Linked DNA regions of Caenorhabditis elegans. The protein of the gene in region 1 purifies or fractionates together with the protein of each later gene. This does not show direct contact. Each region holds a gene or a part of one and is shown in the gene's direction. Other genes may lie near its edges.

The links.
Region 2: the proteins of set-9 (region 1) and rbm-26 fractionate together in Caenorhabditis elegans (co-fractionation; one large-scale study listed by BioGRID). This does not show direct contact.

What each region holds. Positions count from the first base shown.
Region 1 is NC_003282.8:4,305,881-4,310,981, forward strand, and holds the start of set-9 (Histone-lysine N-methyltransferase set-9), read left to right. Parts: upstream 1-2,015; 5' UTR 2,016-2,065; coding exon 2,066-2,171; intron 2,172-2,221; coding exon 2,222-2,589; intron 2,590-2,681; coding exon 2,682-3,013; intron 3,014-3,928; coding exon 3,929-4,832; intron 4,833-5,101. UniProt on the Caenorhabditis elegans protein: Histone methyltransferase. Might play a role in transcriptional regulation. Together with set-26, negatively regulates lifespan in a germline-independent, partially daf-16-dependent fashion.
Region 2 is NC_003281.10:5,709,396-5,715,492, forward strand, and holds rbm-26 (C3H1-type domain-containing protein), read left to right. Parts: upstream 1-2,146; 5' UTR 2,147-2,190; coding exon 2,191-2,249; intron 2,250-2,296; coding exon 2,297-2,418; intron 2,419-2,469; coding exon 2,470-2,866; intron 2,867-2,954; coding exon 2,955-3,146; intron 3,147-3,212; coding exon 3,213-4,305; intron 4,306-4,351; coding exon 4,352-4,483; intron 4,484-4,536; coding exon 4,537-4,674; intron 4,675-4,713; coding exon of another isoform or gene 4,714-4,720; coding exon 4,721-4,753; 3' UTR 4,754-5,449; downstream 5,450-6,097. Other genes in the region: B0336.12 (uncharacterized protein), read right to left, coding at 667-750.

The sequences.
Region 1 (5,101 bases):
GGAAAAATTGAGTTTTTGTCTACAGAAGAGGTATTGGGTTGGGAGTTGGTGGGAGATAATGCCAAGCTACTGTAGTGGTACTGTAGGAGTACTGTAGGTATACGGTAGGGTTACCGTAGTTTAGGAAAAATTGAGTTTTTGTCTACAGAAGAGGTATTGGGTTGGGAGTTGGTGGGGTTAATATTGCGAGTGTAGGCGTTTTCTACTTATAAACATTTTCACAGTAAATGTTCAAATGTTTCCAAAAATCATCAAGAACGTTTTTGAAATTTTGGAGAAATTTTGAAGTTTGTGGAATTTTTTGAAAGCTTGATAATTTATTTCGAATTTTTTTCTCTCTCCCGGTACATTGTCACCAAAAGATGCAAAATTCCTAATTTTATAAAAAATTCAGGCAAAAATCGTGCTCAATAAGACAAGGCCCTACTACAGTCGACGGTTCCAGCCAAATAAGCCGGCAAAGCAGCTCCAACACCACTCCCACCATGGCAAACGTCACCGACGGCATAGGGGACAGTTAGCTGGCACGGAATACCTATCAAAAAGTGAGTAACGTTAGAAAATTACGTAAAAAAGAGCTCGAACTCAATATTTAAAAAATAAATTCGTCATTTCAGACCGAAATCAGTGAATCGTAAGCCGATCCAAGACAACTTCAGTCCAAGGAGCAACAGATGCTTAAAAAACGACAACGTCACTCCACAAATTGGATTAATAAATTCCATATCGAGTAATACACGTCAAAATCCTTAATAAATGATTGATAAGTCGAATAAACTGTAATTTAATCTGAACATGGGAGAAACAGTGAAGAATATGTAATTATCGCTCCGCAGAGCCCACGGAAGACTAAAATATAGCACGTGGAAAGTTCAAAAGACGCAAAAAGTTGCGAATCTATATTCAGATCAATAATTCCCCATTTAGAGTCAGCTTTTAACATCAGTCCAGGCACAAAACGATTCACCGGTCGAAATCGAACAAATATCCATAGAAATTGACGTCAGAAATAATCGATAATTCTCCAAATTTGGCGATAGATAGCGGAAAACCTGTAAAATCTCTGCGAAAGGGCAAGAATTATGGGAAATTAGGCAATCCATTCGATAAAATCGTTATAACGGCCGCCATAGACGCCAGTGGAACAGAATTACACCGCCATCGGTCACAATTTTCGAGAAATTAGAGATTTTAGAGATATTTCGTTGATGAATTTTCAGTTCAGAGAAGAATCCTTCGACAAGGTGAACGTAGAAAGATGAGTGAAGTTGAAACGTCCACAGAAGACGAGAAAACCTGAAGAAAATACTTAATTAATGGGAAGATTCGCAAAAAACTCACTGAGAAACAATTCCATGAGCCAAGATGCAATTTTTTCAACCCAAAATACATTATTTGGCGTGATAATCGATATAAAATCTGAAATTATACGAAAAAACCCCCGGAACAACTTTATATTGTCGATTTCCTTCGTGAATGACGCAAAATAATTTGAATTCCGCGAGGCGAGAGTACGGTAGAATCTGGTGTGTGCACTTGCACACAACCTTACGCGCAAATGCGGAAGGCGGGAAAGAAACTTCTGGATGCGAATCCTAAAATAATTTCGCAATTTTTCCGTCATTTTCCGTACTTTTTTTGATGGAATTATCATGTTGGAATTGCTTACTGCTGACCAGAAACCTCAGAAGTTTGAGAATTCTGACGGCTTTGAATTTTTTGAAAAATCGGCTGGAAAAAAATATTCCGACAGGTTTTTGATCAGTTTTTTGATGTAAAAACGTTAGAAATGATTAGTTTTATTGAAAAAGTAGGTAAAATCTGAAGAAAAGCGTAATAAAACCATGCTACGATTTTTTCAAACATCTCTCCACAATCATGCGGAAATTATTGATTTTTGATATTTTTCCTGGCGTTTTCTTTGGTTTTTCATGTCTCTCAATTTTTTTCCTGGCGTATTCGATAGTTTTTCTAATTTTATCGATTGTTCTCACCTTAATTTTGTCAATTTTCAGGTTCGTCAAGTATTGCATGCCAGAAAGTCGTCGTCGCTAGACAAGGAAAAATGGCAGACGGAGAGCATACGCTTCCAGCCGACGAGGAGCTCTTCGAGCAACCACCACCACAGCAACAACAACCCGAAATCGCCGAGCCAATTGTTATGGCTCAAGGTAGGATTTTGCTGTGTAATGGCGCGAAATCTAAGTTTAAAAATTTTCAGAGCCCATTCAAGGAGTCTCAGAGGATCCACAAGCTTCTGAAGCGACACACGAGGCTCCAGACAATTACCCAGTTGACCATCAAATGGAGAATCAGGAATTCTACCACGAACCGCAAATCCCCGAGCCGCAGCAGATTCCTCAGATTCCAGTCTTTCAACCGGCGGCCTACAATCCGCCAAACTACGTTGCTCCACAGCAGAGAGCGAATAATTTTGGTGAACCAGCAGCAGCAGATGCTCGTCCATTGACAGAACAAGAACAATTGGCAGCCGAACGACCGACTGAAGACACAGTTTGGATCGATTCTGATGATGATACTGATGTGGAAGAGGCGATTCTGAGGGCAAACTTCTGGTTGCCGTATAGTGTAAGGAAAAAGAAAAATCTCGATTTTAGAGGCTATTTTCCATTTTTAAATCAATATTTGCAATGCAAAACTTAATTTTCTGTATATTTCAGGACCACAACTACGATCCGCCGGATCCCGCGGACCGAATCATTCTCCCGACAGAAGGCCCGTTCCCGTGTATCGCCGGCCTGGACGAAGACTGCAACATTGTCAAGCAATGGATGCCCGAAGACGCCGTCGGCCCGGGATCCCCGGGAACACAGTACCGACGAAACCAGCAGGCGGGCGGTGGTCTTCCATCAACGTCAGTGGCTTCCCAGCAGCAACAGCTTCCTGTGCGCCATAATATTCAAAATCGGCCGATGGTTGCTGCGCAGCCTTTCTCGATCGGTGGAAATCAAGTGGAGTATGGTGGAATGGATTCGAGAATGCAGCAGAGAGGGTATGGAAGGCTTAGAAGTCTGAAAAAGCCCGAAAAGGCCTGAATAAAGACTACACCCTGTGGGGAAATTGCTTTAAAACATGCCTATGTGGTCACAATGACCGAATATCTTGATAAAAAAATTCAAAAAAATTTTCTAGATTTTAAATGATTTTTTGAAAATTGAAAAAATCTAAGTTTTCCCCTAATTCCTATTTGAAATTCCGCCAATTGGATTTGTTCGGTGGAGCGCGCTTGCACGTTTTTATTTTTATTCATTTTATTTTTTGTTATTTTCCACCGATTTTTAAAGTTTTCGTTGTATTTTTGCTTGAATTTTAGAGAAAAAGTCAAAATAAATGCAAATTTTCGATTAAAAAACACGATTACAGGCGTAAAAATGAAAAAGTAACGCCTTTAAACGATTTCAAACCTGAATTAACTAATTTCACTGATTTACGCCTGAAATTAGAGTGACATTAGTTAATTCAGGTTTGAAATCGTTGAAAAGCGTTACTTTTTCATTTTTACGCCTGTAAGCGTGCTTTTTTAATCGAAAATTTGCATTTATTGTGACTTTTTCTCTAAAATTCGAGCAAAAATACACCGAAAACATTAAAAATCGGTGGAAAATAACAAAAATTTTAAAATAAATAAATTTAAAAACGTGCAAGCGCGCTCCATCGAACAAATCCAATTGGCGGAAATTCAAATAGGAATTAGGGGAAAACTGAGATTTTTTCAATTTTCAAAAAAAATCATTTAAAATCTAGAAAATTTTTTTGAATTTTTTATCATGATATTCGGTCATTGTGGTACCATAGGCGTGTTTTAAAGCAATTTCCACACTGGCGCTACTCCACATTAAAAAGCCTAAAAAAGCCTTTAAAAACACTAAAAAAAACACTAGAAAACATTAAAAATCTGAATTTTCAGCGTCGTCCGAGATGGTCCGCAATATCGCGTCATGAACGATTTTGGAAATGGTCTACCAATGCGCGGGCTACTTCCACCACGAAACTCGCCGGCCGCCAACGCGATCAACAGAGCTCGAGAGCAGCAACAACAAATGTATCATCAAGCTGGAGCACGTGGAAGCTTACAGCAACGTGCTGCCCCGGCTCCGGCGGATCCAACACCCGGCTCTTATCAGCATATCGTGAATGCGGTGCCAGGTGGAGGAGCTAATCCGATGCGTCGTGTTCCACCACAAGCTAGACCTGGAATGATTGGAGGAGCGGCGAACAATAATCGTGCTCGTCCGACCCATGTGACTCGTCCGATGGATACCCAAGAGTTTGAGCATCCTGTTGCTCCAGCAGCTGCTCCACCGCACAGAGTTGTCGACGTGGCTCCTCACAGAATGACTCCGGAGCAACGACAGGAGCTTCAGCAGATGAACCGTCAACGGGCGGCTCCACAATTTCCGGCTGCTGCAGCTCAAAGATCCGCGGAAGTGATTGTGATTCAGCAGAGACCAGGAGCTTCTAGCAGAGCGCCAAGACCATCTATGGCTCAGGAGGACTTGCTCCGCTCACCGACTCGCCGACTTTCGGAACGAGTTCCACAAGAACATCAGACGCCAGTGCTGGAGCCGAGAAGATTCCAGGTTAAGGTGACGGATACCTACTCGACGCCGATTCCGAAGGCTAGTGATCAGCTACCAGCACAGTTGACTGAAGAGGATCCGCCAGAGGAGTCGGCTGCTGCTGCTGCTCCAGAAGATGTGCCGGATGCTGCTCCAGAAGATCCTCCAAAAGTAATCCTGAAGCCGACGCCGCCGCATCGAATGACTCAGGAGGAGAAGAATGCTCATTTTGCCAGGCTCACTACGGATAAGGTGATTTTTGATAGAATAATCGTAAAATAGCGAATTTCGCGGTGAAAATTCGAGAAAAATGGCCTAATTTTAGCTAAAAATCTCCAATGTTGGACTAAAAACTGGCCAAAAATGGAGATTTTAGCTAGATTAGGCCATTTTTCTCGAATTTTCATCAGGATTTTTTTTCATTTAAACGTATTTTAAGGTCTACACGCTCAAAAAAAAAAATTGCCTGATTTAACTAAAAATGTCAATTTTGTCAATTTTGGCCAGTTTTGCGGCCCGAA
Region 2 (6,097 bases), on another chromosome or scaffold:
GTAAATACAAAAATCTGGCAAAGTTTCTTTGGTTAAATGCGAATGACGTTGTTAGAAATCCAATCTGGTAAATCACAACGAATTTTTACAACCTCGAATTTTGATATATCATATATCAAAGCGGAACTATTTGTGAATATCCAATGGTTTTTTATTGGGGCGCATGAATTTCATCTGATATTACAACGAATTGTGATAAGAGCTTGATACGATGAGTAGAGCACAGAGAGCAACGGCAATTGCCAGCCCCAGAGAATGAAAAATGAAGAAGAGAAGCCACACGAGAAAACAAAAGCGAGGCGAACGGAATAGCTTCCAATTTAGAATGTAGGAGTTGAGCAAGGTAAAAATAATTGAGTTTAAGTTAACAATTAAGTTACATCAAGATAACAAAACTGAATGTTTGAGTTTTGGCATGTGAGATCAGAAAAAACAAACCCTGACTAAAAAATGACGTTTTATTCAATGTACTACTCGCCTTTCTCAAGAGACAAGCGGGTAAAAAACGAAAAGAAAGTATTTCCGAGTACCTGTAAAATGAAGCGAAAGAAAAAGTAAATAGGAACGATATGGATGGTGCTGGCGGATAAATGAATGAGTTTGAGTGTGAGTTCTTTCTCCCCTTCAGTGAGTGCTGCTCATGCCGCGATTTTTTTTGCGTTGTCTCTATCTCTGAAGCTCGCTGGCTGTCATGTTGGATCTGATTTTCGAAATTGTAGCGGAGGATGCTTCCTTCTTCTCTCGCAACATTTTGACATCTGGAATTACTTAATTTTTAGTTTTTTTAGTATCCGGATTTTAGAATAGTACTTTCCAATCAATACAATCAGATTTTAACGATCAAGTTGGTCTAGTTCAAATTTATTAACTTCAAAAGCTTACTTTTTTTCGAATTTCTATTTGCGCCGTTTTGTGATCCTAAAATAATATGAAAGCTCGTAATTTTAGAATAAAAATAACTTTTTTGATAATACCCAGATTTTTCGATTTTTGCTTCAAAAATAAGGTGCCTGGTCTCGACACGTCTTTTTATAAAATACAAAAATACGTCCGCCTTTAAAGAGTACTGTACCTCTAGACTTTTGTTGATACGGGAGTTGCATCGATTTTTCATAGTTTTTCGTAAAAAATATATGTATTTATTTAAGAAAAAAAAAACTGAAATAGAACAATAAACCCACAAATTCTTTCCGATAATGAAGGCAATTATTAAAAAAATCGATGAAAATTCACCATCAATAGTTTTTAGGAATTAATCTTTTACATTTTCCCGGTGGTATGTTACAAGGTTTTATCAAAAATATTGCCAATTATATTTAGACATTCAGTTTCATCTTATCATCATCATCATCCCAATCCATCTTTCGCTATTCGTCAGAATCAATCAGTTATTTTTTCTTTGACAATCAATCACCACACACAATGTTCCGCGTGTAAAAAGAGTACGGTAACCTGGAAGTCCAGAAAACATTGACGGAGACCAGTTTGTTTCGACCGCCCGTGTGTATTTCTTGTCTAGTCCTCCTCGCTCCTTCCATGTTTCGTATTTATGCGCAGTGTTTCCACACACACTGCCGCTTGCCGAGATACGTACGCAACGCCTGTTGGCTGCTGCTGCCAATTTTTGATCATTATCGTACCCCATTGGTTCCTCCTTTTTTCTTGTCCATTTTAGGTTTTGTTCTTTATTATTATCAGTGTATCATTTAGAGATTATAATTCTACTGGCTCTTTTGTTTCAATGCACTCAACTTTTAATGTTACCAATTGTAGTTGAAAAAAGCAAGAATGATAATTATATTTTCAACATTTTGCATTTAGTTTCATAGATTTTAGTGCAAATTGTGTAGTTTATTGAGATCGAAAAAACGAAGTGTTTTTCTTCGAAATGTTCTGTTTGTTCTAACTTTCTAAATATTGCGAAATCTTTATAATGTTATTTCTCTTTTCGAAATTTTTACTTTCTGTTCAAATTTTGAGTATTTTTAATAACTCCCTTATAATGAAAACCCTAATTACACATTCTCGCATTTCTTTGCGTCTCATCTTCATTCACTCTTTTTTTTTCTCTCTACTTTCACCTGCTCTCACTCTCTCATTCTCTCTCTCGCTGTGATCTTCGTTTCCCAATTTTTTAACGAATTTTTTTTAGACTCGGTAAGAAACCTGAAAGAAAATATCAAAGAAAGCATGCACATCGACAATGAGGATGCTCTCTTCGATTGGCTCTCTGATGAGCTCTCGCCAATGTAAGTTTTTTCATTGATTAGACAGCCTACTTATACTTTTTTTTAAGAACTGACGCTGATCCAAATGCTCTCGCGAAATACGTGTTGGCTTTAGTCAAGAAACCGGATAAGGGACATGATGAGCTGAAAGCATTTACCAATGAACAGTTAAATGTGTTTTTAACAGACCGTAAATTTCATTTTTTGAAATGCTCACGTCATTCAATTAATACATTTACAGATACTGCTCCATTCGTCGACAAAGTCTTCGAAGCACTCACAAGCAAAAGCTATATGCCGGCATCAACAGCGCCTACCTCTGCTTCAGCAACTGCGCCTGATCTTAAAAAAGAAAAGGCACCAGCTGAGAAGCCATCGAAACCTACAGCTCCACCGGGTGTTCAAAAGTCAAGCAGCTCTCCTTCAGCCAGCAAAGCCGAGTCCCGCCCATTGCGCAAGCGAATTAGTCCACCTCCATCGGAAAATCGAGAAAAGGAGAAGCAGTCTCGTGACAAGGAACGCCGTCGTTCACGGTCCCCAAGAGATCGTCGAGGCCGCGCGACTACTTCAAGAAGTGGGCGTACTTCATCAAGTGATCGTGATCGTCACAGCAAACGTCGTTCTCGATCCAGATCACGGTAATGAATTTTAGAAAAGTTAAATCCCATCTATGTGTAACCATGGCTAACTTTGATTCGGGTTCTGATTAACTTATAACATTTTCAGATCATCCAGTGGCTCAAGAACTCCACCATACAAATCAAGAAGCAGTCGTCGTCGTTGTAAGGATTTCGAGGAACGTGGATATTGCATTCGCGGAGATCAGTGTCCATACTATCACGGTCGTGACCCGGTTGTAGTTGATGAGAATGCACTTGGGTCAATGGTTCCACTCCCGGCTACCGCTCCTAATTTCTCGTACGTCCCATGTTTATCTAACAATTCTTTGCAAAATCTCCCTTCTCATGATCTAATCTCATACAGTTGCAGTCTGCCTCCACCCGGATACAATCCGCTCAATCCACCTCCACCAGGAGTCGTCGTTGCCGCTGGTGAATACAACCCTGAAGCTCCTGCTCTCAACAATTACAGTATACCACCACCGCCGATCCCTGGACAATGGCAACAACCACATGTAGCTGCACAATATGTTCCCCAATCTGTTTCTTCTTACTCTCAGCCACCACCCGCCGCTGCTCAAGGAGTTGTTACTCAGCCGGGTTCTTTCCGTGGAGCACCACGTGGAAGAGGAAACATTAGAGGTCGTGGTGGATTTGCCCGTGGAGGTTTCACTGGAGCGATCAATAGAGATAACTGTACTCTTCAAGTTGCCAAGATTCCACCAGAGATGAACACGATCGCAAAGCTCAATGAACATTTTGCCACATTTGGAACTGTCGATAATATCCAAGTTAGATATAATGGAGAAATCGATTCAGCTCTGGTTACTTATGCTTCCAAATTTGACGCTGGCAAAGCTTACAAGTCTCCAACTCCAGTTCTCAATAATAGGTTTATTAAAGTATTTTGGCATAATCCTGGAGGCGAAGGATCCGAAAACGCAACTGGAAAGCCGTCATCTCCAACTTCTCCACCAAAACCTGTCGAAAAGCCGAAGATTGCCACAGTGCAAGAATCAAAATTTGTCAGTGTTGCTGCTCAAAACTATCGGAAGCAGATCCAGGATGCTAAAGAACGATTAACGAAAGAGAAGAGTATTTTATCGACGCTAGTTCAGGCTCAGAATCAGCATAATATTATTCTTGACAAGTGGATGGTTAAACAGAAGGAGTTGCTCATCAAGGCGAGAACGTCTACTGATGAAACTGATAAGAAGAATGCAACCAAATTGGTCAAACATCTGCATAAAAAAATAAAGGCATGCAAGGAAGAAGTCGACGGAATCCTGCTCAAAATATCAGAAAAGTCAATGGTGGTTGATGAGATTGCAGCCCAAATTGAAGAGCTTAAAAATCCACAAAAATCGGACGATTCGACCCGGAAGCGAAAAGCAGGAAGCGATGGAGACGAGCCCCAATCTAAAATGAGCAGTGTTGTCATCGTTCGAGGTGTAACAGTGAGTTTTCTTTAAATTGTAGATTTTAAAAACACATTATTTCCAGGATGAATTGGTCACTGATTTGATGGCACATATGGAGAAGTTCGGTGAGGTTTTTGATCACAGTGTTAAAGCCGACGACGATGGTCTCATAACAGCCGTTTTTCCGTTTAGAAAAACAGGTGATGCGTTGAAAGTGAGTTTTCAGTTTAAACGGGACTCGATTTTAAATAAGATGTTAATTTTTAGGCAATGGCGGATGGCAAAGTTCTGAATGGTGTGGACCTCGAGATGGAATTGAAGACGGAGCGAATCGAGGAGATCCCTTCAACTGATACGAACATGTCTGCCGACCAGTTGCTCGCTGCAATTCCGAGCAATCTTGAGGTAACTTGGTTTTCACTTGAAAATTAAATTTAAAAAAAGATTTCAGTCTGACGAAGAAGATGACCTGCTAAATGATTAGTCCTAGTTATATTAGAACTTTGATCTCAAAATATTGTCTTGGTGATCTTACTCGTTGTTTCCAAATGGTTACTTTTCTAGTTATCTGGCTGGTTAGCCTATTTAACCTCAGATTTACCTCAATTTTTCTTCCCGTTTATTATTGTTGCCTATCAGAAACTGTTTCGATTTTTTCTATTGTATATCCATTATAATTTATCACATTTCCTCTCTTATCATTCTTTAATTGTCTTCAGTTTAACTGCCCATTTGGCAATACTTTTTCATCTTCATTTTTTATTGTTCTTGGCTAAGAACTTGTCATGTGATCTGTTCAGAATCGCAATGATTATTGATTTTTACCTGATTCCTTGACAAGTTCCCATTATTTTTTCGTTCATTTTTGTTGTTTGCATTATTTCTATCGATATATCTCATTGATGAAAAAGCCAGCAAAAAAGAGCAAAAGAGAGCAATAACTCCACTAAATGAGAAAAATAAAGTAAAAGAATACATAATGGCTGTGATCTCGAAAAAAAATCAGCGAAAGAATAAAAGACGGGCCACTGAAAAGTGAACGAGTACAAAAAGAGCCCCTCCCGAGTGACGAGTAAAAAACGAGTTAATTTTCAATAAAACACAGGTATTTTTGCGGAAACCGGTGTGTTTTCGTCGTATTTAGCCGTGAATTGCCAGAAAATAAATGATTTTAATTTTTTTTTTCTTTGTTCTTTCTTAACTTTATTCCTCCAATTTTTCTTGCTTCGACGTTGCAATCGTCACATTTTATCTTTGATTTGATCGTCATTTCATTTATTTCCGAATTTGAACGCAAAAAGCTCGAAAATCAAGGTTTGTGACTCCTAATAATTACTGCAGAAAGTAAGAAATTCTCGGCATTTTGAAAGGCGGAAAGATGAACTATCCTAGATTGGCGCAAAGGCATTGATCTATACTGTCTGCGGCGGCCGGTTTCTATTAAGCTTTCATTTTTCTCCAGCACATTCTTCAGAAGCGCCACATTGCTTTAGTCGGAAATGCGGGTCATCTATTTAGAAAGTTTGGCGCTTTGTATTTGATTTAATATTAATTTTCTCATCTGATTCTATTTATTAGTCACAGTATCTCGTGCTGCACTCTTGTGACACGTGTCCTTTTTTCAGAGTTTTTAATTGCGTCACGATTTTCAAAATTTCTCAACAATGCGCTCGCGTTCAATAGGTTTTTCTTCTCTCAAAAAGCATTTTTCATCACTTTCTTAATGTTGCAGTTTATCGTCTTATCACTCGAAAAAGTTTGTTTCAAAGTTCAAATTTTAGAACTTTCGGGTTCATTCAATCAATCAATCAAGATTTCACTGAAGGAT